2 linked regions of the Diceros bicornis minor genome follow. The protein of the gene in region 1 purifies or fractionates together with the protein of each later gene. This does not show direct contact. Links are inferred from orthologs where the notes say so. Each region holds a gene or a part of one and is shown in the gene's direction. Other genes may lie near its edges. The genes, in order: HSPBP1 and EDRF1.

Region 1 (14,984 bases):
AGACTACAAGTCCCATCAGCTCCTGACAGGTTAAAAACTCCCAATTCCCATAAGCCTCTGGGACATACAGACTCCTAATTCCCATCAGCCACCTGGATTCTAAAGACTCCAAATCCCATCAGGCTCTGGGAGGTTAAAACTCTCTTAATCCCCATCAGCCCCTAGGAAACAAAAGCTCAATTTCTGGGAGCTTTTGAAAGGCGGAGATTCCACTGTGAAGCACAAACTCCCATGGGTGCCCCCCGCCCTACACAGATAGTGGAGTGGAAGTGATAGCTCCACAAGCGGGTGACAACGGCCCCGCCCTGCCACCACACCTGGGGAAGCCTGAGAACTACAATTCCCACAAGCATCTTGGGCCAGGGCAGCTTCCTGCCTAGGGAAACCCGCTCCAGGATATGATGGGTGTTGGAGTCAGTTCACCCTGGGGACTGCGTGGTGGGGGCAGGGGGGCTGTCCCCTTTCCCGCTGCCCAGCCCAGCTGTCCCTTGGGTCACCAGAGTCCAGACAAAGGCCTATTGTGTGGAGTCGGGACAGCTGGACCCCACCCCCATCCTTCCTGGGGGGTAACTGACTTTGAGATACGGACTCAGAACTTCTAAGGAGGCCCATTGTTGGGGTTCCAGTCATAGCATCCACAGTTATGTTGGGGGAGGAGGGGGGAGCTCCAGAGTGGGAGTTTGGAAAGAGGCAAGATTTTCACTGGGCCTCGGCCTTCACTGGGCTCACGGCCCCTAGTCAACAGGGAGCATCTGTCCTTAGCAAGTTGGGTCTGGCTGAGGCCATCCAGATTATCCAGTATGGCGTGCGCCCTGCAGTGCAGTAGGGCAGGGGACTGGGGCTGGGAGGAAGGGGGAGGATCAGCCTCTGTCCCCGACTCAGTACGGCTTAGCTGTCCTGTCGCTGGGATACATTCGACCCTTAGCGTGAGGCCAGGTCAGTGTGGAAACAAGGAGGATTATGTGTGTGTGCGGGGGTGTTGCTGTGGGGGAAGGGAGTAGGGAAGGGACTGGGCCTTCACTGGCCCAGCTGAGAGTGGGCTTCCAGGCCCTGTCTGCGGAAAAGTCCCACCCTAGGAACTTGGGGAGGGCGCATGGGGGGCTGGGTGTCTATAAATACCTACAAATATTTCTTGTTCTCGTAGACGTCATGGAGCTTGAGGACGTGTGGGTGTTCAATGAGCTTCAGGATGGCAATCTCCCGTTCCACCTGGGGGACCGAGGGGTGGGACACAGGAGTGGAGGTCAGCATGGCCTCCCTTCATTCCCCCTAGCCCCAAAGGGTCCCCCCACAACATACACACCTTCATCAGCACCGACTCGGACAGCTTCTCCCGGTTCACGATCTTGATCGCGACCTTCTGGCCCGTGATGCAGTGGACCCCGAGTTTAACCAGCCCTGGGGGAGCAGGTTTGAAGATGTGGGGTGTACTCCCAGAGCATCCTCCCCGCTGTGGCTCCTAAGCTCCCCTTTCCACCTCAATTCCTCCTTCTTGCCCTGCTGGCTGTTTAGCAGTGGCCTGAATCACTCTCACCTGAACTTCTGCGGGCCAACAGCCGCCATTCCCACAAAACACAATTCTCTTCCTGCTTCCTATTGCCCAATTCTGTTCCTTCCGATTGTCCATCACCCACCTGCCTTCCCCTCCACAGCCACCCCTTGATTCTCAATCTGATTCTCTCCCCTTCTGGCGTGCCCATTTCAGTTCATCTCTCTACATATTCTTTCCTCACTGAGTCTCCATAGTTTTGTCTCCCTCATTCTGCCTGCTTCAAACCTCTCTCTCTTTCAACCCATCACTTCCTTCAATTCTCTGCCTTTTAATCTAGAGACTTCACGTCTCCCAAGGAATATAATCGCACCTTTGCCCCCTTCCCAGATCATCCTCCTCCACCTTCTCTGAAACCCTGACCTCTCAATCCCCTTCTTTGATCTACTTTTAATAGCAGATGCAGCTGGCAGCATGCAAACCCCAAGGGTAAGCCCCAAAGCCACAGACCCAGGAGTCCAAGCCCCCAGCCCCTCCTCCCTCAGACCCAGGAGTCCAGGCCCCCAGCCCCTCCTCCTTCAGACCCAGGAGTCCAGGCCCCCAGCCCCTCCTCCTTCAGACCCAAGGGTCCAGGCCCCCAGCCCCTCCTCCCTCAGACCCAGGGGTCCAGGCGCCCAGCCCCTCCTCCCTCAGACCCAGGGGTCCAGGCGCCCAGCCCCTCCTCCCTCAGACCCAGGGGTCCAGGCGCCCAGCCCCTCCTCCCTCAGACCCAGGGGTCCAGGCGCCCAGCCCCTCCTCCCTCAGACCCAGGGGTCCAGGCGCCCAGCCCCTCCTCCCTCAGACCCAGGGGTCCAGGCGCCCAGCCCCTCCTCCCTCAGACCCAGGGGTCCAGGCCCCCAGCTTCTCCTCCCTCAGACCAGGAGTCCAGATCCATGGCCTCTTCCTCACCCATAACTCAAGAATTCAGGTCAGCAACACCTTCACACTCTTACCACTAGGATCTGGGGGTCTGACCCTCTTCTCCTTCCTACCTCACACCCTGGCCCTCAGCTTCATACAGACCCTGGACCCACCAGTGGACCCCCTGCCCAGGACACAGGTGTGCAGCTCCCGCCTCACATCTGCCCACCCCCCACCTGGCAGGAGAGAGGCCGTGCTGGTGGCCAGTGCTTAGCAACAGCAAAAGATGACCCCCCCATTCCACAGCCACTCCTGGGGGATTCGCCTCTTGCATCCACCTTTCCACCTCTCCATTCCTGGTCCCCACACTGAGCCAGCATGCTGGAGAAGGGGAAGAATGCTGTAGACCCCATTGCCCTGGCCTCCCCCTGTCACCCCAATGGCCTGCCAGGAGAGCCTGAGGCCCTCTTTGGCTAGAGGACAGTGCAGAGGGAAGCGGCTTCCTGGGGTGCACCCCCATCCCGCCACCTCACCCCAGTCTGCGGCTGTACTGCAGCAAGGAACTCTGCTCCCAGTACGGCCGGTCCCGCTGCGGCCGGCCTCCCTTCCCCACGGAGGCCAGGGAGCCCCTCCAACCTCTGCCCCAACGGGGCGGGAGCCTTCAGGCGCCAGACCTCACCCGAGGAATCCAGGCCCCTAGGCCCCTCCTCCCCAGGACCCCAGAGTCTGAGCTCTCAACCCCTCATCCTGGGGGTTCAGCCGTCTTGACCCCCAAGTGCCTTCTCTGTGAGGGACCCAGGGGTCTGGGCAGCCTTTGCATACCCATGAGTCCCGCCCTCTGCCCCCCAGCTCCCCTGCACCCGCCCCAGGTGTCCCCTCCCCTGGCTCACCTGTCTGTCCTTTGCCCAGCGTCTTCTCCAGCCGATAGGGGCCCACATATTGGGCGTGCTGGGGTGGGTGTGGGTGTGGGTGCGGGAGGTGGTAGGCGGGGGAGCCCCCGCCCCCCTCCTTGGCCCCGGACGACATGGTGCCCTTGGTCCCGGCCCGACTGGCCCCCCGGCCGCCCCCCCTGCGGCCAGTAGCCCCGTCTCTCCGGTGGGGGCCGGCGACCGCTCCGTCCCGGCCCCCCCGGCTGCCCCCCACCTCTCCGGGGGTCCCCAGGGGGCTGGGCTGGGCCCCCCCACTCGGCGGGCCGCGGAGCTGGGGGAGGGGGGGCTGGCCCGGGGGGGTCAGGCCCCGGGAGTCAGCATGGCCCGGGGGGGCTGCGCGGCCCCCCCTCCCCGGCCCGTCCCTGGCCGGCCCCCCCCTTCCTGCGCCTCCCCCCGCCGGGGGGGGTCTGAGGTGCGGGCCGGCGGATGCTGCAGGCCGAGGTCCCCCCCGCCCCCCCACGCGCCCTCTCTCCTCCGCCTCCTCCTCCTCTCCGCCTCCCCCCGCCACCTCGTCCTTTCTCTCCGGCACGCTGACATCACCATCCGGGGACTCCGGGCCCTTCCCCAAAGTTAACCCTTTCGGAAGGGGGAGGGGAGCGGGGGCAGGGGGCGGGCCCGGGAGCTGGAGGGATGGAGAGGAGGTGGGAGGATGCAGGGAGGGAGGGAGGGAGGGATGCAGGAGGAGAGAGGATGGAGCGAGAGAGACGCCGAGCAAACAGACAGGGGCAGAGATGGAGCTACACAAAGGGAGATGCAGTCTGACATAGGCACGGGGAAAAGGAGACAGACATGGCAAGAGAGATGGAGGCAACCAGAGACAGGGCTGGGGCAGGAGGGGAGAGGAGGAGTCCGGAGATGGGCAGAGACAGGAGAGACAGAGAGACAGGGAGGTGGTGAGAGACTCATAGGAAAGCAGAGACAGGGACAGAGGTGGAAAGAGTCAGAGACCTGGAGAGACAGACATGCGGGAGAAAGAGGGAGTCCAGCCAGAGAGATAGGGGAGAGGCATGGAGAACAGCAGAGGCGGTGGAGAGACAGAGAGATGGGGGAGAGTAAAGAGACGGAGAAAGGAGAGAAGGTGATAGGGAGAGACAGAAAGATGGAGAGACAGGGATGGAGAAAGGAGAGATGGTGGTGAGGAGAGAGAGATGGAGAGACAGAGATGGAGAAAGGAGAGACAGTCATGGGGAGAGACAGAGATGGAGAGACAGAGATGGAGAAAGGAGAGACGGTCATGGGGAGACACAGAGATGGTTGGACAGAGATGGAGAAAGGAGAGATGGTCATGGGGAGACACAGAAATGGAGAAAATCAGAGATAGAAATGGAGAGAGACAGAGGTGAAGGACAAGAGAGTTGGACAGACAGGGAACTGGGGGAAAACAGAGGCAGAGAGATATGGAGAGACAGATGGAAGAGAGATGAACAGAGAAAACAGAGCGAGAGATGGGGAGAGACCTGGAGAAATGGAGGGGATGACAGAGAGATACAAAGCTTTGGAGAGATGGAGGGAAGGGGGAGAGAAGTGGAGATAAGCAGAGACAGGGACAGAGAGAGGGAAAGGTGTGAAAGTTGTGGGGGGAGGTGGGCAGACAGAGGAGGGAAGGTCAGAGAGCAGGAGGAAACTGGGAGAGATGGAAAGGGACAAGGGGGGAGGAAAAATAGAGACAGGTGGAGGGCGGGGGGAAAATAGCTGGAGAGACAGATGTAGAAAGAGAGCTACAGAGAGAGAGGGACGAGGAGAGGGATAGAGGTGCAGACAGCAAAATAATGGGGGGATACACACAGGTGGAGGGCTAGATGCTGGGGAAGATGGGGACAGATTGGAGGGCAGAGAAAGGGGGAGACAGGCAGAGAGAGGAAAAGAGTTTTGGGAGTTGCAAACTTCCCAGGCCCCCTTTCCCCACCAGCATCAGAGCCCCATATCCACCCCACAGCCCAGGGTGCATGTTTTCAGATCATCTTGGTTCCATACCTCCATCAAGGATCCTCCCTGCTCCCACAGAGAAACTTCTAGAACCCTCTGAGGCCTCTCTGTATTTTCTGAGACCCCTATGTATTCTCCGTGTCCACCACAGGGTCCCCTTGATCTTCATGTGGGCCCCCATATAATCGTACATCTCCACTGTAGCACATCCATGGATCTGTGCTCAGCCCATGGGTAATCCACAAGCCTCCACCAGATTTCCACGTAATCCAGGACTCCCCTATATCAAGTACCCAAAGGTGTTAGGATCGATCCCATGTCATCCCCAAGTCCTCTATAGAGTCTACCCGTGAGCCTTTAGTCTCCTAGTCAACCACCTCCATTCCATGAACCTTTATGGAGTGCCGTCTGAGCCGGACACTCTCCCAAGTGGGGAGGGCACAGCAGTGAACCAAATCAACAAAGACCCCGGCCTGTGGAGCTCCCATTGCTGTGGATGAGGGAGGCGAGAAACAAGAAAAACAAGCAAAATATACCAGTATGTTAGATGATCATGATCAGAGCTGAAGAGGAGACTAAAGCAGGGAAGGGGCAGGAAGTGTTTGTTAAGTGGGGTATGATTTAGATACGGTGCAGGAGAGACCTCTCCGGTGAGGGGATATTGAAGGAAAGTGAGGGTCAGAGCCATGTGGATAAAGCACTGGGAGCCTTCCAGGCAGAGGAACAGCAGGTGCAAAGGCCCTATGGCAGGAGCGTGCCTGGCGTGTTGTTGGAACGTGGAAGGGGCCAGTGTGGCTGGAGGGGAGTGAGCGAGGGGAAGTGAGAGGAACCGAGATGAGGACGCAGATCGTATATGGCCTTAGAAGCAGGTGACCATATGTCCTGGTTTATGCCTGGTGTTCTGTAATTATTAACAGGGTCTGTTTTCACTCTCAAGTGTGTCGCTATGGGTGGAAAATTATATGGTCATTCTACTGATAGGTCATTGTAAAGGCCATGGCTTTTATAGGGTACCTGGGAGTTCTCATCCAGGCTACCCTCATATGATACATATATTTATATATATAATGTTACATATAATTACATGTTATATGTACGTATATGGTATTATGTAAATACCATATATGTAAATTATAGATAAATAGATTTGGGCATAGGTGTACATAACTGTGGTAGCCTGAATAACAGGTCCCCAAAGACGTCCATGTCCTAATTCCCGGAACCTGCGAATATGTCCCCTTACACGGCAAAAGGGACTTTGCAGATGTGATTGAGTTAAAGATCTTGAGATGGGGAGATGATCCTGATTATTTGGGTGGCCCTAAATGTAACCACAGGGGTCCTTATGAGAGGGAGGCAAGAGGGTCAGAGTCAGAGAAGGAGATAGGATGACGTTGGAAGCAGAAGCCCAAGCGATGTAGCCACAATCCAAGGAATGCGGGTGGCCTCTAGAAGCTGGAAAAGGCAAAGAAACAGGTTCTCTCCTGGAGCTTCCAGAAGGAGCGCAGCCCTTGCAGACACCTTGATTTTAACCCAGTGAGACCCATTTTGGATTTCTGATCTCCAGAACTGCAAGATAATAAATCTATGTTGTTTTAAGCCACCAAGTTTTCGGTACTTTGTTAACAGCAGCCATAGGAAACTAATACAATAGGGTACCCAGGGACCCAGACCCCTGTCGGATAGTGATCCTCCTCAGTGCTACAAACACCACACACTCACACACACATGGCTTATGCCTTCTATCTTCCCATCTCTGCCCAAAATATCACCCCACACACCCCAAGCCTAGCAGTGTGCTCCTTTTTCTTGTGTGTGTGAGGAAGACTGGCCCTGAGCTAACATTTGTGTGAATCTTCCTCTATTTTGTATGTGGGATGCCACCTCAGCATGGCTGATGAGCGGTGCATAGGTCTGCACCCAGGATTCGAACCTCTGAACCCCGGGCCACTGAAGCAGAGCACATGAACTTAACCATTACGCCACCAGGCTGGCCCTGAGTGTGCTCAATATATCTGTGACTGTGATCCCCACCTGAAGTTGAGTACAACCTTTTCCTGGACCTGGAGGGCATCTTATAGCAGACCAGAACTAGGGTTTTTTTAAGTCCAGCCCAAAGCAAACACCTCCACAGACCAAGCACATGCCCAGACCTGAGCTCCAACCTGATGCGCAGAGGCTGCGAGCCTCCCAAACCACCTGGCCTGGGCATTTTACTTCTCAGCTTTCGGCTTCAAGAATTCTGTCCTCTGCACCTGGCAGGACCCAGGGAAGATTCCAGGAGGAAGAAGCTGGGTGACGAGGGGTCCGCACAGGAGCTGCAGTGTAGAGAATGGGCAGCCCTCTTTGACAAATGGGGAAACTGAGACCAAGGGGGGGGTGGGGTGGGTTAAAGGCTGCCTAGGTCAGCTATTAGGGGTGGGAACCCAGGGCTCCAGTAAAAGATGGGGTGGGGGCCCAGGTAGAGGGGAAAAGGCCTGAGGATAAGGGAGCCCCACAACCTGCAGCGCCGGGATGGGGCGGGGCCGGCGTTCCAGGTATGGGGGCTGGGCTTAGGGAAGGGGCGGGGCTTAGCTGGGAGAGGCTGAAAGGCCTAGACGGGGCGGAGCCTGAGGTGGTGGAGCGGGGCAGAGTTTAGAAAGGGGCGGGACAGGTGGGGGTGGGCGGGGCCCAGCCGAGGCGGAGCCAGGCCTGGGGGCGGGGCCTACACCAGGGCAGGGGTGGACCTTGCAATGAGGATGAGGAGGCGGGGCTCACTGAGGGGTGGAATCCAGGCTTGAGCGCGAGGCGAGGGAAGGGGCCTACGTGAGGGGCGGGGCCGAGCGCAGCGTTGGGCCTGGTGGGAAGGACTTAAGAGGCGGGCAAGCTGCCTCGGCCCCGGCTACGGCCCGAAGTTGGGTGGGTGCTCCGTTGACTTCCGGGAGAGATCTGCGTATTTCCGGTTAAGATGGCGGCGCCCACCAGAGTCAGGTGCGGGCGACTCTGTTTTTAGTAGCGGTCGCGACTCGCTCCCGGGGAGGTGAGGTTCGCCCCGCTCTGGCTCCTGTCTTCGGAGAGGAAGGAGGAGATTTGTTGCTGACGATCAAAGGGAGGGCTTGTTGCTACGGAGGCAGGGCCGTGGCGTTGCTAAGAGACGGGAACGCGTGCAGTGGAGATGGGGGAGGGGGTTGCTAGGTTGCTAGGGAGAGTGGGTGGGGCCTGTTATTAGGGAGGAAGGAGGGGCTTGTGACTTTGGGGAAGGGTCCAGTTGGTATGAAGGGCGGAAAGGGGACTGTGGTTAAGGGGGGTGTGGGCAGAGTGGTTCGGGGTGATGGGGGCGCGCCGAGCTCCCCTAAAACGCCACCTTCTCAGCAGACCCCCAGGAGTCAACCCGTCAGGACGCCAGAGCTACTTCAGCGGTGACCACTCCTATCCCCAGCACATCCTTCCCTTCTTCACAAACAGCCCATGGCGAACCAAGACTCGACGGGCAGCCGCCTGCCCCTGGCGCTGCCCCCGGCCTCCCAGAGTTGCTCGTCAGGGGGCGGCGGCTCCTCGGCGGGGGGCTCGGGCAACCCCCCGCCCCCGCGCAACCTCCAGGGCCTGCTGCAGATGGCCATCACGGCGGGCTCTGAGGAGCCAGACGCCCCTCCGGAACCCATGAGTGAGGAGGTAAGCGATGGGGAAGCTGGGGTGAGGGGTGTGGGGACAGATATATCTTGGGAAGTGTGGCTTGGGGGGCTAGAAGCTGGGGTTTTCCTGGGTAGGCGGCAGGAGTCCAGGTGTGAAGGCATAGTTCGCTATGTTTGTGCCAGATGGGCTACTGTAGGCTGAAGGTCAGATCTCAGAAGTGTCTGCAGAGGCAGATTCCTGGGTCCCAGCACTGTGCTGGGAGGCAGAATAGCTTCATGGTAAAAAGAAAAGGCCAGGGTCTCCAGAGCCAGACAGACCTGGATTCAGCATTATCCAGTTGTGTGACCTTGTGCATATCACTTAATCTCTCTGAGCCTCAAGTTCTTCATTTGTAGGTTGATGATGCTAATGAGAACAGCAGTACTACTTAGAGTAGTTCTGAGGATGCAGTTGAAGTAGGGCCCCACACAGTGCCCGACAGGTAGGCTGTGCTCCTGAAGGCAGTGGACTGTTCTCCTTAAGAGCACCAGTCTGTGGACAGGCTGCTTAGGCTTTGCGGATTGCTGACTGTGTGATCTTGGGCAAGTCATAAGCTTTCTGTGCCTCGATTTTCTTATCTGTGCAGGGACGATAACAATAATACCTCGTAGGGTGGTTTTGGAGATGAATAGCAATATTTGTTACACAGTCATGCGTTGCTTAACAACGGGGATACATTCTGAGAAATGCCTGGTCAGGCGATTTTGTCAGTGTGCGAACATCATAGAGTGTACTTACACAAACCTGGATGGTATAGCCTGCTGCACACCTAGGCTCTGTGGCACTAATCCCATGGGGCCACCGTCGTATATGCAATCCGTCGTTGACTGAAATGTTGTTATGCGGCACGCGACTGTTGATAATGTTTTGGTGGCCGTGGCGATTACAGTAGACGAAACATTGTGCTAATCCAGTTACATCCATGATGTCATTGAACCTTTAGGACAGGGAGGTAGGAAACAGGCACAGAAAGATTAAGCATCCTGCCCGCATTTATCCAGGACTGTGACTACAGAGCCCTCATGGGAGCACTCAACACAGGGCCTGGCCAAAAAAAACAAAATTCCAGTGGCCGTTTCTCAGCTCTCATCTTATTTGACCTACTAGCAGCATTTGAATTCTCCCCCTCCTTGATCTCTTTTTTCATTTGGCTTCTAGAACAACACAGTGTCCTGGTTTTCATCCCACTCACTTGCCCTTCCTCCCCATGTCCTCTGTTGGTTCTTCCTGGTTCCCCAGCCTCTCAGTGATGGAGCACACCAGGACTCTGCCCTTATCAGTGCTCACTGCCCATGTGACCTCATGTTGTGTTGGGGCTGTACTCTAATGCCTCTCAAGTTTATATCTCTAGGTCACTGGTTCTCTACTGGGGGCGGTTTTGTCTCCCAGGAGGCATTTGACAGCATGTGGAGATATTCTGTGTTGTCACAAACTGGGGAGGCTGCTATTGGCATCTAGTGGGTGGAGGCGAGGGATGCTGCTCAACATCCCGCAGTGCACAGGATGGCCGCCACCAGAGAACATCCAGCTCAAAGTGTCAGTAGAGCCGAGAGTGAGAAATCCAGGTCTAGGCTGGACTGCCTCCCTGAGCTTCAGGCAGCCTACTCAGTATTTTACCTTGGGTGTATAATGGATCCCTCAAACTTAACATGTTCAAAAATGAGCTCTTGGGGCCAGCCCCATGGCTTAGCGGTTAAGTGCACGTGCTCTGCTACTGGCGGCCCAGGTTTGGATCCCGGGCGTGCACCGATGCACTGCTTGTCGGGCCGTGCTGAGGTGTCGTCCCACATACAGCAACTAGTAGGATGTGCAACTATGACATACAACTATCTACTGGGGCTTTGGGGAGAAAAAAGGAGGAGGATTGGCAATAGATGTTAACTCAGGGCTTATCTTCCTCAAAAAAAAAAGAAAGAAAAGAGCTCTAATCTCTGCTCCTCCCCATCCACACCCGCTTCTCCAGCCGTCTTCCCCATGTTCTTCTAGTTGCTCAGGACAAGAACCTAGGAGTCCCTGGTGCCTCTCTTTCTCTCACACCCCATAGCCAGTCTCTCTGTAGATCTAGTGTCTAGAAAAGAGTCTGTCAGTAGAAAAGATGCTCAATAGATATCTGTTGATTGAAGGAACAGTCAGCTCTCATATGTTGGCCGTTATTATTAACGACTGTTATTCATGTATTAATTATTGATAGAGGTTTTCTTCTTTCCCCCACCCTTCCGCCCCTCCTCGTCCCCCAGAGGCGCCAGTGGCTGCAGGAGGCCATGTCTGCCGCCTTCCGGGGCCAGAGGGAGGAGGTGGAGCAGATGAAGAACTGCCTCCGAGTGCTGTCCCAGCCCACGCCCACCTCGGCCAGCGAGGCTGAACTGGCTGCCGACCAGCAGGACCGCGAGAGGGCCCTGGAGCTGCTGGCCGACCTGTGTGAAAACATGGACAACGCAGCGGGTACACCGGGCCCGCCCCAGCGCACCGCCCAGTTGCCAGGGCCCTGCCCCTTCTGCCTCCTGGTCTCCCTTCTGTCTCTTGCCCCCTCCTCAGCCCCGTGTCCTGCTGCGGCTCAGCCCTTGTCCTTTGTCTCAGGGACCACGCTGCCGGCCTGCTCCCCAGCCTCCAGCCTCTGCCTCTCCAGTCTGGCTCCAACTCAGGCCCCAGATGGGACTTCTCTGTCCCTCCCTGCTTTGGCCCCTTGCCACCAGGAGCAGTGATGGCACCTGCTCTCACCCCACACAGCCAGCCTGGCAGCAGGTTCAGTCCACTACCTCCCTGATAACTGGCCATTTTGCCCTCGTCGGCTGGGAGTCCACCATCATTCCCTAGAACATGAGAGAGGAGGCGGTTCTGGGCAGAGTGGTCAGAGAAGGCAACATTTGATCAGAGACTGGAAGTGAGGGCATGAGTTGTGGGACTGGCTCTGGAAAAAACATCCTAGGCAAAGGGAAGGGCCAGTGCAAAGGCCCTGAGGTCGGAATGTGCCTGGCGTGTGCACGAACAGCAGTGAGGCCAGCACGGCAGAGTGGAGTGAGGGATGAGGGGTAGGAAGTGATGCTGGGTGTGCAGGGCTTACAGGCCGAGGTAGGCGCGGTGAGTTTTATTCCAAATGCTGTGGAGCCCGTAGAAGGATGAGACCTCACTTCCATTTGGAGGGGCACGGTGTAGTCATTGAGGGCTGGATTTGTCTATTCTGGAGGTTTCATGTAAATGGAATCATAGAATATGTGACTGGCTTCCTTCACCGAGTGTGACATTTTCAAGGTTCTTCCATGTTGTAGCCTGTACTGGAACTTGATCCCTTTCTGTGGCTGGCTAATACTCCTCTGTGTGGCTAGTCCACATGCTGTATCCGTTCATCAGCTGCTGGGCGTTTGGGTCATTTCCCCCTTTGGTTATCGTGAATAATGCTGCTGTGAACCTTGGTGTGCAAATATCTGTTCGAGTCCCTACTTTCCATGCTTTTGGATATACATGTCGGCGTGGTCACATGGTGACTCTGTGTTTAACTTTTTGAGGAACCGCCAAGCTCACCAGTACTGCTTTATTTACAAAACAGGCAATGGGCCGTACTTTGCTCACCTCTGGTCTTGTGTGTGCTTCTTCCACAAGGGATGTTCTGATTGTCACAAAGACTGGGGGTCAGTAATGGCATTTAGTGGGCTGGAGCCTGGGACCCTGACCCCCTAAATGCTGACATTGTTGAGACACACCGGCCTTGGAGGGGCCCCCGGTTGGGTGCTGGGAGAGAGCCAGCACTCGGAGGTAGGTCACCTGGGAGCCGGCCGCCCGTCCAGCCTCACGTGGTGTATTAGTCCATGCATTTGGGCTGTCAAGCAATGCACCACAGGCTGGGAGCCTTAAACAACAGAAATCTATTCTCTCACAGTCCTGGAGGCTGGAAGTCCGAGATCAAGGTGTTGGTAGAGTTGGTTTCTTCTTCTTTTTTTTTTTTGTGAGGATATCAGCCCTGTGCTAACGTCTGCCAATCCTCCTCTTTTTTTGCTGAGGAAGACTGGCCCTGGGCTAACATCCATTCCCATCTTCCTCCACTTTATATGAGACGCCGCCACAGCATGGCCTGACAAGCAGTGTGTTGGTGTGCGCCCGGGATCCGAACCGGCGAACCCCGGGCTGCCGCAGTGGAGCGCGCACACTTAACCGCTTGCGCCACTGGGCCGGCCCCGAGTTGGTTTCTTCTGAGGCTTCCCTCCTTGGCTTGTAGATAGGGGTCTTCTTCCTGTGTCCTCGCGTGGTCTTCCCTCTGTGTCTGTGTCCTAATCTCCTCTTCTTATGAGGCACCAGTCATACTGGATTCGGGCCCATCCTGTGACATATTTCACCTTACCCACCTCTTTAAAGGCCCTCTCTCCAAATGCAGTCACATTCTGAGGCTGGGGGGTTAGGGCTTCAACTTGTGAATTTGGGGGGGACATAGCTCAGCCCTGACATCAGGCCTCCCTCTCCCGTCTCTCCGGCATAGACTTTTGCCAGCTGTCGGGCATGCACCTGCTGGTGGGCCGGTACCTGGAGGCGGGGCCCGCGGGGCTGCGGTGGCGGGCGGCGCAGCTCATCGGCACGTGCAGCCAGAACGTGGCGGCCATCCAGGAGCAGGTGCTGGGCCTCGGCGCCCTGCGCAAGCTGCTACGGCTGCTGGACCGGGACTCCTGTGACACGGTGCGCGTCAAGGCCCTCTTCGCCATCTCCTGTGAGTATCCCTCGGGCTGCCTGGGAGGGGCACGGCTCCCCTGGCTGGGGGCAGAGGAGAGGGGCCTCATTTGTCCGTTTGTTCCCAGCACCTGTCGGGTCTCTGTGCTGGGAACAGAGCAATGACCTTGCCAAACCCCCTGCTAGTCAGAGAGCCAGATCCTGCCTGCGGAGGAACGCAGCTCAGCTTAAGTGCTCTACGCCCACTGGGGTTCTCAGCTTCGGCACTGTTGACATTTGGGGCCGGATCATTCCTTGTTTTAGGGGGGCCTCTCCATGGGGCTGCTTGAGTGTCCTCACAACCTGGCGGCTGGCGTCCCCCAGAGAGCGATCCAGGATGCCAGGCTGGAGCTCCAGGGACTGCAATGCCTTTTTTTTTTTCAACTGATGTAAAATTCACATGGCCATTGTAAAGTGCGCATTCCAGTGGCATCTGTCTTTTTTTTTGGTGGGGGGTGACTGCAGGGCATGCCACTGTGTGGCAGCTACCATTTGGTAAGTTCTTAGAATGGCCAGCCTGGTGCTACAAGCCATTTGCAGGGCATGGTGTCCTGGCTCCTGCTTGACGTCACTGCGCCCCCTGCTCCACCCGTGAGGGCACGGAGGCTCGCAGAGGTTCCCCTGCCAGCCGCCGCTCCTGTGTGCCTCTTCGTCTCCACAGAGAAAGGGTTTTGGAAAGATGCAGACCAAGAGAGGGTCAGATGGAGGAGTGTGAGACAGCTCAGAGGACGGGACGGGGTGGGGGGTTGGAGTGGGGAGGAGGGAGTCCCAGGGGGGATGCACGCCCTGCACCTCCCTTTGCTTAGCCTTCTTCAGGTAGACGTGTGGGCCTTGGCGATGACTTTGGCTTTTCACTGCGATGGCAGGAACCAAGGTGCATTTAAAGGGAACAAGGCGATGGAAGGCGGGAGGTTGGTTAGGACGTCACAGTGATAACCTAGGTGAGAGATAAACGGGGAGCGAAGCAGCTATTCTGAAACGGGGACGATTGTCCCTGCAGGGGACATCAGGCAATGTCTGGAGACACGTTTGCTTGTCACAAGTGGGGGTCTGGGGGCTACTGGCGTCTAGAAGTTGCAGGCCAGGGCTGCTGCTCAACATCCTACAGTGCACAGGGCGGCCCCCACCGCACAGAATGATCCGGCCCCAAATGTCAGCTGTGCCTGGTGGAGAGACCGTGGGGTAAAGGGAAGCGCTTGCTCCTGGATATGTCGTGAAGGGGAGTGAAGGGATGTGGAGGCTCGTCATGTCTTCTTCTCCCTGTTGGGTGTTCTTTTTTTTTTTTTTTTTTAAATTCAATAACATATTATTTAATCCTATATATCCAAAATATTATCATTTCAACCCATCATTAATATGGAATATTAATGAGATACTTTACACCTTTTTTCATGCTA
Region 2 (16,006 bases), on another chromosome or scaffold:
CTTCCATTAAGCGCACCTTGATTTCTTTTGGTTTCCTAATTGTGGTCTGGAGCTTGTTTTTCATAGCCATGCTTCTAGAAATCCAGTTTTGTTTTTCCTTACATAGAAATAAGAATTGTCTAGCTCTTAACCTAGACAGAACCAATTGCCCCCTCATGCCAAACCCCACCCCCCTTCCTCTCACCAAGCCCCCTGCACCATGTGTTGCAGCCAACTGGGTGACTCTCCTGTTCCCACGCACCACCCCACTGGCCACTCCCACCTCCACACTTTGGCAAGCGTCTCTTCTTCACCGTCCTACCCTCTGCCCAACCCTCCAAGTCCCTCCCCAACCACCTCAGGCTCCACAGCCTTCCTGACCACTCTGGACCCTCACCCTTCCCAGCCCAATGTGCTTTCCTGCCTTGGAACCTCCACCACTCCTGGTCCATTTTCTTCCTCGGTGGTCGCAGACCGCCGTTTATTACTGAGTTCTTGCTTCAGCCCTGTCCTCGCCCCAGAACTAGATCCTAGGCCCCTGTGGTCAGGAGTCCTATTCTGCTGATTTCTTTAACCCAGCGCTGTGCCTAGGACTCAGTGTCTGTTGGATGGGATTGAATTAAGCGTACATTGTTTGGTCAATCCCTACATTTCTCTCAGAACTGCTTAGGGCTCTCTTGAGAAATGTGTCTTTTCATAGCCAACCCGGCAGACTAACCTAAGACAGTGATTGACAGAACAGAAGGAAATGGCCAGAAAAATGCAACAGGGGGGATTAAATTAAAAAGGATTAAGGATGAGCTCATTTCAAGAATAATCCTAGGAAGGGGGGGCAGGTGGAAGCACACTGGATATGTGTTGGTAACTGTTCAAAGTGGATAATGGCGATGGAAACATGGGGCTCATTTTACTGTATGTATTTGAAATTTTTGTGATTAAAAGATTTGAAAAAGAAGGCAAAGGAAGAGGAGAAGCAGCAGCTGATCTGCAGACTCAGAGGAGGTCCCAGGCAGAGGTATGAGGGAAGGGGTTGGAATATGGGTTCCCCACCCTTTGGGTACCATCCTTCCCTGTGGCAGCACTCCTGCCCTCCGCGCGTCTCTGTCCCTGCATCTATAGGCCCCTCATTCATTTACATGCCCCGACATACACACACTCAGAACTTTCACCCAAGTAATACCATCCCAGGCTCTGCCTATTGGGTAATGCCCCATGTTCTAGAACATTCCCAGATGGGAATGGGAGGCCCTCAGAGCCAGGCTCTATTTCAACTAATCCAGTTGGCCAACCCTCACCTGTGTGTGAGATAAGGCACACACTGAGATCTTCTGGGACAGAGAGTCCTTGATGCTTCTTAAATCACACCAAGCAGGGCCCCCTACAAGAAAAGATCTGCCACAGGTCACAGGAGCCATCTTGGTGGAAATTTCTTCACTCTGGAAGCCTTCCTGCGGCAGTGGAGGCCAGCTACCCTCTGCCCAGGAGGTTCTGTTCTGATTGACCCTTCAGAGGGTCTTCCCTACAGCTGTGATTCTCCCATGGGTCACTGCAATCAGATAATAAACATTAACTGCAGCCAAGATGCTGCTCAGGTCTTTCCAAACAATTCATAATATCCATACCGAGTATGTACAACCATTTTTAGGGATAAACAAGCCTGAGACCCTTCAACGGGAGAGCTTAAGTTTCTCCTCCCACTCTTGTGCTGCTCTTTCCTACTTCCCAACCACTAAAAGAATGATATTTGTAATGTAGATGAGGCCAGTCCTTTTGCACAATGTTGACAGACAAGAGGAAGATTCCAGAGAGAAATGCCACAGCAGCAAATGAACATAAATGACGCTTTTCCACTTTGTGCTCATAAAATGCCTTTTGTACCAGAATCTCAAAGCTCTCCAGGAAGCCAGGCTTTGACTTGCACTTTCGCTCCGGGTACATGTGAATGGCCAGAGCTTCCCAAGTCATTTGTGATAAGAAAGAACAAAAGTCCAGACACTTTTAAAATGCAATATTCTTGCCTTCTGGGCAGTAAACAAAAGTGTGCAGATGGATAATGACATCTGTGGATTCTGGCTCCATTTCCTAAAGAGAAAAAAACGTAAATATGTAAAAAATTGTCATATGTGGATAACACCCGTGGTTCATCCAGTAGTTACCATTCTGCCCAACATTCACACGCAATGGGTTCTGTTACTGGGTGCTTAGTGACTGAATGACACCGAGAAAGTAAAATAGCTCTCTTCAATGCCCACAAGGAAGACAAATGTAGATATGTTTAGTAAAAAGCTCCAGTCTGCGGCTTTGACACGACACTTTTCACTTAGTGATGCCTTCTTTTTGTTCTCTCCACTGGCGGCCTCCTCGTAAATGCGTAATAGCTAAATGATTCATTAGGGTCTGCACAGGGCAAGCCCTTAACTGGAAAGGCAGAGGGGACCCACAAGCAGCGCCTGACTGTAGGATTGACTTGAAGATTCATTTGGGAATTCTTTCCTTCCCTCCCTTAGCCCAGTATGCACAGCATGAATAACCGCTTGGACTCCAGCCACCAACACGTGTCTGAAGAGCAGTCCTGAGTGACTTTGAAACTGTTCCTGGGATTCATTTAGGGTAATAATCAGCATCAGAGGATAAAGCTCACCAAGACTCGAAGAACATTTCTGCTGTGAAAGTAATACCTAGCAGAGACAACCTGCCCCTACAATCACTTGCATTATATTCTGAAAGTCAGCTCTAATAGCTTGCAAAAGAATTTGAGTTCATCGGGTACCTAGAAAAGGAACTCCTTCAAATGCAGTTGAAATGGTTTCCAAATAATTTCAAATAGTTTGCTTAAATGTTATTAGTCTACAGAGGAGCAATTAAATAATTATCACCTAATAATTAAATAAGGTATCCCATAGTTGCAACCAAGAGTGCCTTGCTATTACACTGATAAATTGCACATCAAGGTCTGCATTGTTTTTACTTTAAAATTTTTCTACTGTTGTCAAATTTAGGCGTAAAGGAAAATATAGATCATTAACTTGATACTTGTTCTTGACTGAAAGAGTAGCTAGCATGTGGTTTCGGGTACCATGGTGCATTTAAAATAGTCTTTCTAAAAGTAGTAGTCTATAAACTTTCTTATTACACATGATTATGAAAAATATTTCTGGGGGCCAGCCCGGTGGCCTGGTGGTTAAGTTCGCATGCTCCGCTTCGGCAGCCCGGGGTTCACGGGTACAGATCCCGGGCACTGACGTACACGCTGCTCATCAAGCCATGCTGTGGCGGTCTCCAACATACAAAATAGAGGAAGAATGCCACAGGTGTTAGCTCAGGGACAATCTTCCTCAAGAAAAAAAGAGGAAGATGGGCAACAGATGTTAGCTCAGGGCCAATCTTCCTCACCAGAAAAAAATATATATATATTTCTGAACATGCTGCCCCAATATATGTGTATTTATTTGTAAAAGATATACTCGCAGTAGTATATTAACATAAAAATACAAGAGTAGAAACTTTTTAAAGTCTAAAGCAATCAATATTTACAATATTTTTATTTTAACTGCAAATGGTTCTGTTCTAATATTTTTTAAAAGAGAGTAAAGTGGTCGAATAGGTTTCTTTGATTCTTATGACTCTTGGCTGAAAACTTTGCCATGTAACAATTTGAAGTGTCCTAAGTTCAGTTTATTTTAAAACTTGGTTTTAATGGCTGCCATTGCTTAAAATATCTCAAAAGATAAGTAAACTAACTAGGAAGAATCACATGGTCTCAGAGCTTACCAAGTCAACTGCGCATTTCATTTGTATCCACAAATTATGCAAAGGTTTTAACTGAAATTTGGCTAAATTCCATCTTCTTTGAAGTCCATCAGTCTTTCTTATGAACCAATTAAATGGCGTCAAGGAATAATTCAGAGATATTTAGTTTGTTGTTTTATATGCAATTTATTTACTCATACCTGAAGAGGAAAGGTCAACGGACAGTTGTCATGAAACAAAATTAAAAACAGGAGGTACAAGAGGGAGGAGAGAGGAGAACTCGGCTGGCAGCCTGGGAATAGTGAATCCTGCAGGCACATTTGTGGAGTAAACAGATCACTTCACGGCTGACAAAGAGATCAGTCTGGGCATTCTGAGAAGGCCAACTAGTGGTATCAAAGAAAACAATGAAGATGTGGATAGATTTTTCCAAAGCCCTGAAAGTGTGGCTGAGGAGCACAGGAGACTTGCTATCTCCTTCGAGTTAGCTCTCCGCTCCTTAGGAAAGCCAGATCTGCACCACTGTCCTCCTTAGAATTCCTCAATATATTTAAAATGCAAACTCTCCATTTGGGAGATTTTTAAAGTGGGTTAGAAATTTCAGTTTCAAAGTTAAGTGTGCAGATATGAGTTTTTTATAAGCGATACACGTCATTTTTAGCAACAAAATCACATAATGTTGGAAAGACTTCCAAACATATATTTTCAAAAATGCTCTCTCCATAGGATAAGATTCTTTTGAAAACCAATGATTTTCTCACTCATTGTTAAAACATCACCTTTATCTTGAAGGAACAGATTAACTCTGTTTATTTCTGTGCAACTCTCGCCTGAAGCATCCTAATGACAGCTGCTAGTCATCACAGAAAAGATGAGGAAATGTGGAACACTTTTTGTAAAAGAAAATATAGTAACTCATTTTCTAAGCTTGACAATTCTTTTAAGTGCTTTGTCACAAGATGATCTGTGATCTCTGTGTGGTACATGAGATTTTCAAGGTCACCCCTCATCTTACTACCACACTTTGAAAAGATTCTCCTAAAGGCCTTGTTTTGTCACCAAATGTGGATGGCATCAGATAGCCCACCGAAACCACCATATGCTGTGGTAGACTGCATAATGGTCCGCAGATACCCAGTCCCCCTCCTTAGGAGGAGCATTAGTCTTCCCTGCCACACTGAGGCTAAGCTTGGCCATATGTCTCATTTTGGTGCCCAAAAAAGCAAGGAGCAGTGATGTTTAGCATTTCTGACCAGAAGCTTTAGGACATAGTTTCTGGTTCACCAATCTCTTGGTCACTCCACCACTCCACCTGGCAACGCTCCAGATTGAGGCTGTTTCATCAGCCTGGGTCCTGGAGTAAAGATTACATGGACGAGTGAAAGTATGACCCAAATGTTGCCTGGGACACACTTCTACTAAATATTTGGAACATTCTTACTCTAAAAATTTTTTCACTGTTTATCTGAAATTCAAAACGTCAAAGCAGCCTGTATTTTACCTGGCAACCCTAGTTGTAAGTCATTGACATTTGCGGATTGTTTGTTTCGGCTGCGTATCCCAATCTTACCTGACCCATACACTAGCTGACCATGGCCCAAGAAAGGGCACCTGTGTCAACCTGTGTATTAAGTATTAGGAAGGCTTGATTTTGCCCTGACTTTTCAGATTAAAAGAAAAGGAAGTTATAGTTCTTCCTGCACCTCAGAGGATTGTCTTTAGAGGTCACTGTTCTAAGACATGGTCTACATGCCAGGGTGGTCAGACACTAGTAATCTCACTAAAAATGTAGATTAATGTAGATTCCTTGGCCTACCTAGAGATATCAGTTTACAATGTGGAGGTGGATAGAGGATCTGCTCACATAACAAGTTCCTCGGCGATTCTGAAACAAATTGAAGTTCCACTAGCCTATATCTGCAACTTAACTTTTTAGAAGGCTACTGGGGAGTCAGAGACCTACATGCTAGTCCTGTCTTTGCTATTAAACTAGCTTTGTATGACATTCAACAAGTTAATTCTATTCTCCTTTCTGGACTGCATTGCTCTCATCTAAAGAGGGACAGGATTGGCTCAGATCATCTCAAATCTCTCTTCCAGCTCTACGAGTCCAGGACCAGGAGTCAGAAACTCAGGGCTTTTCAACGTGCAGCAGGCAAAGTCAACAAGTGAGGCTGGGTAGGTGTAAGACACTAGGTCACGGAGGGGGACTGTGGCAAACTGAGGGGCACAAGTCACAATCTAAGCATTCCCTGAATGTTCTGCTCTTCGCAGGCGGGGCTGTTTAGGAACTCTGTGGACCTTGGCACATTTGCCTTACCTATAACTGTAATAGTTTTTGAAAAGATATCTAATTTTGCTTTGGAAAATACCGCGTGCTGCGAGTAACCAAATGAATGTACGATTGACTGGCATTTCTCTGAAATCATCATGTGTGCTGGGAAGATTTTTGTAAGCAGAGAAAGTCTAACCTACAAATTGTTTTAGAATGGAACCACCTGTGTGTGAATACTGACTTTAATAATTAATGACACTGACACTGCAATGTTTTGGAGATACTTCATTAAACGTTTTTAGCTCTGATTTTGCAGATTAAAAAAATATTTTGGAGCCAACAACACTGTTTTTGTGTCTCAAACATTCTGATAAGCATTTTAAAAGCCTGTTGGCACTACTCATTTTACCTACATCGCCTCAGGGCTAAAACAGTTCTGTCTGCAGGTGCTGTGTCTGCTGTGGGTGAAACAGAGCTGATCAGACAGGGCACTAGCCCTCAAGGAACTCACAGTCGGCAAGGGAGGCAGACACAAACAGGTGATTTTTCTACAAAGTGACAAGTGCAGGATAAAGCTACATACAGGCTTTGGGAACAAAGAAAGGGACTCTAAGGGGTAAGGAGGGGGAGGAGTCAGGAGAGACTTATTAGGGATGATACCTGAGATGAGTCTTGAGGAATAAGCCAGGAGAGGAAGGAAAGGTATTCTAGACAGAGGGAAAGCACAACAAACACAGACTTACGGAACAACTGGTTGATGCAGAAAACTAGAAGCAGTTCATTCATTCAACAGACATTTCTTAAATGGCAAGAGCATCAGGCCCTGGGGAGGCAGGTAAACATGAGAGCGATGACTGCTTACAAGAGCCAGGATACCTGCACCTACAGGCAGAGCAGGCCATGGATGATGAAGTACATCCTGGGAGCTGCAGGGCTGGGAGCTGGGGGGACAGGGAGGGAGGGGGAAGGCGGACACTGATGCAATATAAAAATGAACAGAAATAAGCATCTTAAAATGTGAACTTCTGGAAGTAATGATCCATGTTTTCCCACAATATTATATTTCAATCATTTACATTAGAAATAATGATAATAACTTTAAAAAAAAAAACTTTTTTTTTAAGCAAAGTTTTTGAATAGGGAAAAGAAAAAATAAGCACTCAGAGCTAGAAAAATGTATAAAATTTATGTAACTCAGATGTGCCCAGTTTCTTCTGCCCTAAGGGATCGTCTCCTTTACTTCCTAAATCTCTGTAGTCCTAGCCCTGTTAGTGGCCCAGGAAACCTCGTGCCTCCTCAGGGTTCCTCCACAAGTAGTTCCTGGGAGCGCCTGGTCCCCCAGCCTGAGGACCCTCCACTCCCATGATCCTCTCTGCTGCTGACCCTTTTTCTGTGCGAGTTCCTGGCTCTCTCTGTTTCATTCTCTGTCTTTTCACAGGTTGTTTCCAACACATTTTCCCACTAAGCATCATCAACAAAGGTTCAGACACTTCTCAAGAGGCCTGCAATGTATTTGAGTCCTGAACAAAGAATTACTGCTACCTCAGGAAATCTCTTTTGACAACGATAGAATTATATAATAAAACAAGATTATTAGAAGCTAAATTATATATGCTTAAAAACAATAAAAATTATATTTTACTATAAAATAATGCATAATCAGAGAGAAAAAATAGGAAAATAAAATTTTAAAGAATAAATTTTAAATCACTTGATTTTACCACTCAGAGATATGTTTTTATGGACATAGACACAGAAATAGACGTTTTTAAAATTAGGATGACATTGCATATTTGCTTTTTAAAATTTTATCATTTAACATCATACCATGTACAATTTAAAGGTTCTTGAATATTCTTGAAAAACAAGTTAATAGTTGCCCAAGTTAGTGGTATTATGTGCCAAAAACAGACTGAACCATCCTCCTAATGTTAGATATTTAAGTTGCGTTCAACTTTTTACTATAATAACAATATATTACTTGCAAAAAGAATTGACTGCAAAATACAAACAGGAAATGATTAAGTATCAGAATCAATACATGCAAAGTGTCTACAAAACATACTATTATATCAAATTCATTATTAAATATAATTCATAAAAATGTTTTGTTACATTTGAAAATAATTTGTAAGTTGAACTTGCTCAGTCACAAGGATTTCTAAATATGCACATAGTGAGTTACCAGAGCCTAACGTAAATTACAAATTGAGATAGCCAAATAACTGCAAAGCAAAACTAATTTTTCAAAAAGCTTCCAATATTTTACCGCAAAACTAAGCAAACTTTCATGAAGGATGTGGCTGCATTTAACTAAGCTTGTTAAGATATTGGGTGTGCAGTCCGAGGATAAGAGAGCCTAACACCTTCAAACCTGTACAACGGTCCGGTTATTTCTCTACCTCCTTGCTACTCAGAGTACTGGCAGCGTCTCCTGGGACTGATAGAAATGTAGAACCTCAGGCCCATCTCAGACCTACTGAATCAGAATCTGCATGCCAACTAGACCCCCAGGTGTTTCCTATGCACATTAACACTTGAGAAGCCCCTGTACCACCTAGAATGCTCTTTGCTAGTTCCCTGGGGCCTGACGAATAGAGGGCTCTCCGTAGATACTCCACCAGTCACTAAGCAGCAAACGTGGCACCTTGCAAAACCCTGTTGAGGTGCCACCACTTCTGAAATCCATTCTTAGGTAAAGGCAGAGGGCCTCCTCTGCGCATCTCAGCGCCGCTCCTACACTCGAGACTGTGGGGCCACACAGGCATTGTGATGCGGGGGCAGGACGCCCAGTCCGCGCGGCCTTGAGCTGGCCTGCCCCTCACCTGGACACATCTTTCCCTTCCGGAGCCTGAGCCCGTTTCTAAACCGAGGGGGACTACAGGAGAGGGGAGGGCTAACACCACTACTTGACATAACGGGAGCCCCTGGTTACACGGAGAGCAGCGTTTCCCCTCCCACACAGCGACAACCACGCGGAAACAAATCTCCCGGCAGAAGTTTGCCAACAAAGACTTGCGGCGTGCAAGGGGTGGAGCCTGGGAACCAGATACCGCGAGAAGCGGTCTCCCGAGGAGGTTCTGACAGACGCAGGCGCACTACGGTTCCCGCCCCCGCCGCGAAGGTGGCTTCCACCGCGGGAGGCGGGGCCGGGCCTCTGGCACAAAGGTCGCGAGATTTGAACGCGTCACCGCAACTCCTTCCTGTCTTCCTGAGACCGGAAGTGCAGTGCGCGGGGCGGCTCTGGCGCTAGCTCGCCTGTGCTCCTGCGCGGCTGGGCCCGGTTCTTGTGGCGGCTCCTTGGGTCCCGCCTCTCCTCGCCTTCCGTGGGCCGAGGTGATGGGGGACTCCAAGGAGGCGGGGGCCGAGGCTCCGCCAGCCGGAGCCGCTGCTCGGGAAGGGCTCAGCCTCCTGTCCCAGGGGGAGTCCGAGGAACCTGCGGCACAGGTGAGTCCAGCGCGGGGCGGGACCTGCAGGGCTCCGGGGGCTGCGGGCCCGCTCCCCCGGGGAGGGATGGCACGGTTCCCGGCGGCTTCTGGCGCCTTCTCCACGCCTCCCCGACAGCCCCACACGGAGTGGAAGCCCGTGTGCCTGTCGCCAGGTATCCAGGTATTTACGTGCAAGTCACTCGTATCAGAAGCAGTCCTGCCCTCCTGCTGGGGGGAACCGACAGGTGAGTTGGGATCTCCGCTCTCGAGGAGCGTGCCGGTAAATACGCGGTTCCAGCATGCGGCACAGCCGTGCACAGCTGCAGGGAAAGGGAAGGGCGTCGGGGAGGAGCTCACCGGGAGGGGACTGAGCTGACACTTGCAGGGTGCAAAGTGTCTGCCAGGCCGGGAAGGGGCTGCGGGCAAGGAGGTTAAAACAGTGACCTCAGACGCCGAGCTTGCCTGGGGGAGTGCAGGTGAGGAACCCCAGTGCCTCGCTGTGAAGTCCGAGATTCAGAGTGTTTGTGTAATGACCTGATGAATCAGTTACTATGAGTTTGCTTAAAAAGGAAAAGGCCCCAGATATCTTACCACAAGCTACTTTCTAAGTGATGTATGTTATTGAAATTAAAATACATCCTTAATGCAGAACAGAGGATTCTGTCAGATTTTGCATTTAGTTAATGTGACACTGTTGACTCTCCTTAGTTTCTGCTTTTCCACGTTCGTGAATAAAATTTGAAAGGTAGATTGGTTGGCCTGTTTCCTAGCAGATAACCATAGCCATCATACTCTTTGACTCATGTTTTTTCTTTGAAATTATGTGAAAAAGAGCTAAGTAAATGTGACCGTCTATGATCGCATTTATTAAGTGCTGTTACTAACACATAGCATACATTCTTGTGAAGCCTGATGTGGTGGGGTTTTTTTTCTCTTTATAAAGGTGAGATTTTTCGTTTCTAGGAGTTTTCATTAAAGTGTCATTCAATATGTTAATTAGGGGTCAGCTTTATTTCTTGGAGGCAATGAAGTGAAGAGCCGAGCTGTGGTGAAATACTCTTCTGCCCCTCCTCGAACAGCGTTTGCACGCCTTGAAGAGAAAACAGACTTGAAACTCCCACCTGCCAACTGGTTACGAGAGAGTGCCAAACTAGGGCCAGCAGGAACCACCATTCTTGGCAATAGTAAGAAAAGCAAGCCATTTTCAAGGTAAATATCAATCAGTGGTATTTTTACTTGTCCCTCAAACCTCCCCCCAGCCCTGCCCCCAAACTCTAATACTTGCTTTTCAGTTTAATTGGTAATGCTCATCAACTTGGCAAGGTTTCTCTTTAGAAGAAGATCATGTTTGATTTTCGGAGTCCTTTTTTTCGTTCTAATATGATTATGTTGTTATATGAACATATCAACTTCATATGCTTCTGTTGAGTTTTCATCATGTTATTAACAAAGCTGAGTTTTGACCACTAAAATTCAATCAGCTGTTTTATTTTTAGCCAATTTACGTGCTTTTTGAATGTGTGGATACGAAGAGTCGAGTGGCACAGGAGGAGGAAAACCCTTAACGCTGCCTAATCTGTCCTGTGGAGTTTTGCATTAAATGGTGGTGGATTGTCTGGTCTGAAACAGCCTGGTGTAGAAACCCAGCCTGTTGGGTGACCTATGCCCTTGACTTTGACACTTGCTGGAAATTCTGCTGGTGGTATTTAAAGTTGAGAGAGTGGCCAGGGGTCTTATAGAGATAAATGTGCTAATGTCCATATTCTTGTACACCATTTAATGTGTGGGGTTCTCTTTTTTTTCCTCTCAGTGATTGAACCTAAAATATTTCCACATAACACAGCAAGAGCCATAAATACATTAATATCTTATAAGCCAGTAGTTTGGAGATTATCCTAATGCCTCAGAAGGTAAAAGTTATATTTGCAAAATATTTGTTTGTAGCATTATTTATACTAGCAAAAAGTTGGAAATAGTCCAAATATCTTCTTTTAGAAGAATGGCTTAATAAATTATGATATGTCAACATAATTAACTGTTATGAGGTGATTTAAATAATTGTTGATTGTGTACACTCTAAGTACTTTATATGTTTACCTTATTTAATTCTCACAACAACCCTTTGAGTTAGGTACTGTTAACTAATTATCACATGGAAAAACTGAAGCTTAGAAAAGGTTAACTAACTTGCCTAGACTGTGTGGTAAATCATCAGAGTATGCTTTGAGGTGAGGCTGTCAGAGGTAAGTATCCTGACTCTCTGCCACTTACTATCTGAAAAGTGGTCACCTCAGCTGCTTTTCAGGTTTGTAGATTATAGATTTGCCTCTCATGGTCCCTGGTACAACATTTGTTTTCTTTTCTCCTGCTGGCTGAATTGGTGTCAGGTGCATTTTTTTCATATACATTTTTTATTTTTATTTATTTTTTTATTTTTTGCTGAAGAAGATTTGCCCTGAGCTAACATCCATTGCCAATCCTCCTCTTTTTTTGCTTGAGGAAGATTAGCCCTGAGCTAACATCTGTGCCACTCTTCCTCTATTTTGTATGTGGGTCACCATCACAGCATGGCTGACGAGTGGTGTAGGTCTGCGCCTGGGATCTGAACCCGTGAACCTGGGCCACCGAAGCAGAGTTGCACCAAGCTTAACCACTGTGGCACAGGGCTGGCCCTCAAATATGTTTTTTAAAAGGGTAGTATTGTATATCACTAGGAACACAGTCCCAGAGACTGAAATCCTAATAAATGTTTCTGTTTCTATTCTTCTTATCTCTCCATCTAAAAAGAATAATATCTTGAGCTAACTGTTTTCTCCTGGAGATTTTTTGCGCTTTGTTAATTCAAAAATGAAAATAGGGGCTGGCCCGGTGGCATAGTTGTTAAGTTCATGCACTATGCTTTGGCAGCCCGGGGTTTGCAGGTTTGGATCCCAGGCGCAGACCTACGCACTGCTCATCAAGCCATGCTGTGGCAGCATCCCACGTACAAAATAGAGGAAGATGGGCACAGATGTTAGCTCAGGACTAATCTTCCTCAGCAAAAAGAGAAAGATTGGAACAGATGTTAGCTCAGGGCTGATCTTCCTCACCAAGAAAAAAGAAAAGAATTGTTAACTGTTTTTATTCTAGATGTTTCCTATTAATTGCTTCTAATGATTATTACTATATTTTATCAAATCTAAGATGCCATTGATTTTAAGTCACACCATTATTTTATGTACCACTAAGAAGGAAGAACTAGCCAACTATAATGGTGATGGGCATACTGATTTCAGAGATGTTAGAATGTAGAAAATGTGTATCCTGGAAGCAATGAAATACGGCATTCTGTTATAAACTCTTCTTGCGTTATTATGAGCATGACGTTTGTGGCCTTTGTTCCCTTCGTTAGCTTTGGTATGGCATACGACTTTATCGATTCAGTAGGAAACGACGTGGATGTGGTCTCTGACTCTGAAGTAAGTGTCCTTACTGTGGAATGTAATTGGGGTGTTTCTGCTGGGGATTTAAAGCATGCTGTGTTCTGTAGTCTTGAAAAGTTACTGATGAAATAAGATACAACTATCTGATTATTGGACGCCTTTTTTTGTTATTAAAGTAATAGTCTTTACCATATCTCCTTTCTTCAGAGAGGAAGGAGCAACCCCCAAAACAATGGCAGTGGTAATAATATTAATATTGGTGGTTGTATTTTAATAATAGCAATTACAAGTGATTGTAATGTTTGGGATGATTTGTCTAATGTGACCAGTTGAGAATTAGAATGATGCTTCTAGCAAAATCTATTGCTCCTTAGTTGGTGAGTTTTATCTGATATGCTAAAAGCCTAGGTCAGCGCAGCAGTGTGACCTATACACGCTTAACTTTAGGAAGTTTTGTAATGTAAAAATAAACCTTTGACCATCACTTACATTAACATCGGATGACTTATAAAGTGTAGGTGATTCTGATTTTAAAGCTCTGTCTTCCATGGGTTTGTATTTAGCTGTTTGTGTAAAGTACTGTGTATAACCTTAGGGAAATAAGGTTTACTGTGCTTTAAAATTGAATGAAGTTAAAATTTGAAAGATTCCAAATCACACTAGAAAAAGTCTTTCTAAACTACTTTTCCTCTTAATTTTTTTAAGAACATAAAAAAGCTCCTGAAGATTCCGTACAGCAAGTCCCACGTGAGCATGGCAGTGCACCGCATAGGAAGGACTCTCTTGTTAGATGAGCTGGATATTCAAGAACTCTTTATGAGATCATCACAGGTAATACTCGTGAAAAACAACCGGAAAAGCGTTGTTTTAACAACTTAAGGGCACTAGAAATATGATTTTGTTTCAAAGAAAGGCCAAAGTGGAAATGTAGTTGAGTACTTCAACAATCGAGAGACGAGAAATTTCACTGAAGATAAAAAAGCTTTAATAAAGAAAAAATAGAGAGAACAGGGAAGAAACTTATTTTGTTGATACCAACAGCCAGGATTCTTGGAAGGAAAAGGATGAAACCAATGAGGAAAGTTGTGAAAAATCTGAAATTTAAGGACCTACTTTAAATTTCTGAAAAATCCTTTAATGTTTCCATTAAAGAGATTGTCATGAAACATGGCTGCCAGAAAATGTGAAAAATGTTAAAAGTTATTCCTATGAGTACATAGTTATTGGAATTAATTGGTTCTCTTAAAGCAGAGCTTCTCAAACTGTATGTTGGTAAATGACTGTTTTTCCCTCAGTGTGTTGATGATGGAGACTTTTGTTAAATATAATAACAATGTTGCAGTTTCTCAAGTCTTACTCTCCATTTCTATGTACTTCCCTTGTCATGGACTGTTTGCAAATAGTTTATGGTCCTGCCAGTCCCTTAGGCTAGTCTTTAAATAAAGAATGTTCCTGCAATGCTTTGATAAAGGAAAATAAGTTACAGTGATTTTAAATTGACATTTAAAATAAATGTTTTTTCCTTTGAAGACCACAGTTCAGTTTAATCTATATGTATGTGCTAGCCACTGGACCAGGTCTTGGGATGTGACAGTGAATAAATCACAGTCCTTGCTTCCTAGCAGCTTACAGTTTTGGGGTTATAAACACATACACAGATAATTTCAATACAGTATGCATAGTGGGGCTTATTCCAGGCACTAAAGAACATGTTATGGAAAAAGGTGACTCCTAACCTGGCTTAGGTAGAGAAGGAAGAGAGAGAGATTTCCTAAAAGAGGTGATAGGAATTAAGTCTAGAAAGGTAAGTATGTGTTTATGAAACAATATTCAAAAAATAGAGAGTATTTCCTGTAAAAGAGTAATAGATAACAAATTGTTTTGACCACAGGTTTGTTTTTATCAATTTCTTACATTATTCAGACTGGTGATTGGACATGGCTGAAAGAGTTTTATCAAAGACTTATTGATCAGAAGTGGCAGAGGAAGAAAAAAAGCAAAGAGCACTGGTATCAGAAGGCTATTCTTTCCAAGTTTTTATATTACAGGTACTTGGCTCCTTGTTTATTTTTATCTTAAGAGGAAAAGTGAAATTATGATCTAAAATTTAATTTGAAGCCAATAAAGTAATAATTTGTTTTGCCACTGTAGTATCGTTGACATTTCAATGTCTTATATTCCTTTTTTTAAATAAAATTTACGCTTGATTGTAGAAGCTGCATTTTAAAAACTAGTAGACTGTTATGTAAGTTAACTTTAGTAACCATGTGACGTTTTGTATTTCTGATTTGGCCAGTATCAATGGCGATGGAGCCGCTCAGCCCGTCCCATCTGCTGCAGAACAGCAGGAATCGTCCAGTTCAGACCAGACAAACAATTCGGATGGGGCTTCCTGGCCCGCCCCGTTTGAAATGCCTTCTTCAGTTTCTGAAGATCCCAGTGCTTCCAGTCAGGTTAGTTAGTGCTTAGATGCTAATTCAGTAAACTCATTTGAGAAGACAAAACTAATTATCTTGTTAATAAAAGTAGATGAAGAGGCATAAAAAATATTCTATCAATTTATGTCTCACAATTAGAAAAAATATTTTTTTGTTTTTCAAAGTAGAATTTACAAGAGATATGAGTGACTAGATCAGATTTTAATTAAATAATTAAAAATATTTTAAAATTTTTTATCAGCATTTAAAATAGCTTACCAGTGTGTTTATCAATACTGATTATCTCCTTAAAGTCATAAGAGTATTATTATATATAATATAGAGATATGGTATATTTTCAACTTTAGATACATAATAAATGCCTATCAAATATTGAGACTTACAGGCTTGTTTGTAATTTAAATACTGACCTTCTTGTCTTAACTTTTAGTCAGATTGTTAGGCCTAAAATCGCCCTTAAGATTTTCTGGATGAAGTTCCTGAGACTTAACCCACATTAATGTTATAAAGCTTTTAGGAAGGAAGCGAGAGTACAGTTGTCTCTTTTGTCTCTTATATTCTTGACTTCTTCTTCTTGCTTGTTTTGTCCTTATTGTATCTAACAAGGAATAAAATAATTTCATAGATGTAAATTGTGCATGTCTGTTTTCAAGAAAATATATTGACAAACTCAAAGAAGATAAAAATAAGATCTTTAACTTTGTAAATCGTGTT

The links.
Region 2: the proteins of HSPBP1 (region 1) and EDRF1 purify together in Homo sapiens (affinity purification with mass spectrometry; 3 studies listed by BioGRID and IntAct, counting the BioPlex papers as one, with this or other methods). This does not show direct contact. The link is inferred for Diceros bicornis minor from reciprocal best matches to the Homo sapiens genes HSPBP1 and EDRF1.

What each region holds. Positions count from the first base shown.
Region 1 is NC_080773.1:33,290,167-33,305,150, reverse strand, and holds the start of HSPBP1 (hsp70-binding protein 1), read left to right. Parts: upstream 1-8,159; 5' UTR 8,160-8,263; intron 8,264-8,598; 5' UTR 8,599-8,691; coding exon 8,692-8,895; intron 8,896-11,132; coding exon 11,133-11,337; intron 11,338-13,363; coding exon 13,364-13,588; intron 13,589-14,984. Other genes in the region: serine/threonine-protein kinase BRSK1, read right to left, coding at 1,124-1,209, 1,304-1,398, 3,280-3,415. UniProt on the Homo sapiens protein: Inhibits HSPA1A chaperone activity by changing the conformation of the ATP-binding domain of HSPA1A and interfering with ATP binding. Interferes with ubiquitination mediated by STUB1 and inhibits chaperone-assisted degradation of immature CFTR.
Region 2 is NC_080745.1:88,300,758-88,316,763, forward strand, and holds the start of EDRF1 (erythroid differentiation-related factor 1), read left to right. Parts: upstream 1-9,268; 5' UTR 9,269-9,343; coding exon 9,344-9,451; intron 9,452-10,432; coding exon 10,433-10,641; intron 10,642-12,823; coding exon 12,824-12,890; intron 12,891-13,559; coding exon 13,560-13,685; intron 13,686-14,777; coding exon 14,778-14,902; intron 14,903-15,150; coding exon 15,151-15,307; intron 15,308-16,006. UniProt on the Homo sapiens protein: Transcription factor involved in erythroid differentiation. Involved in transcriptional activation of the globin gene.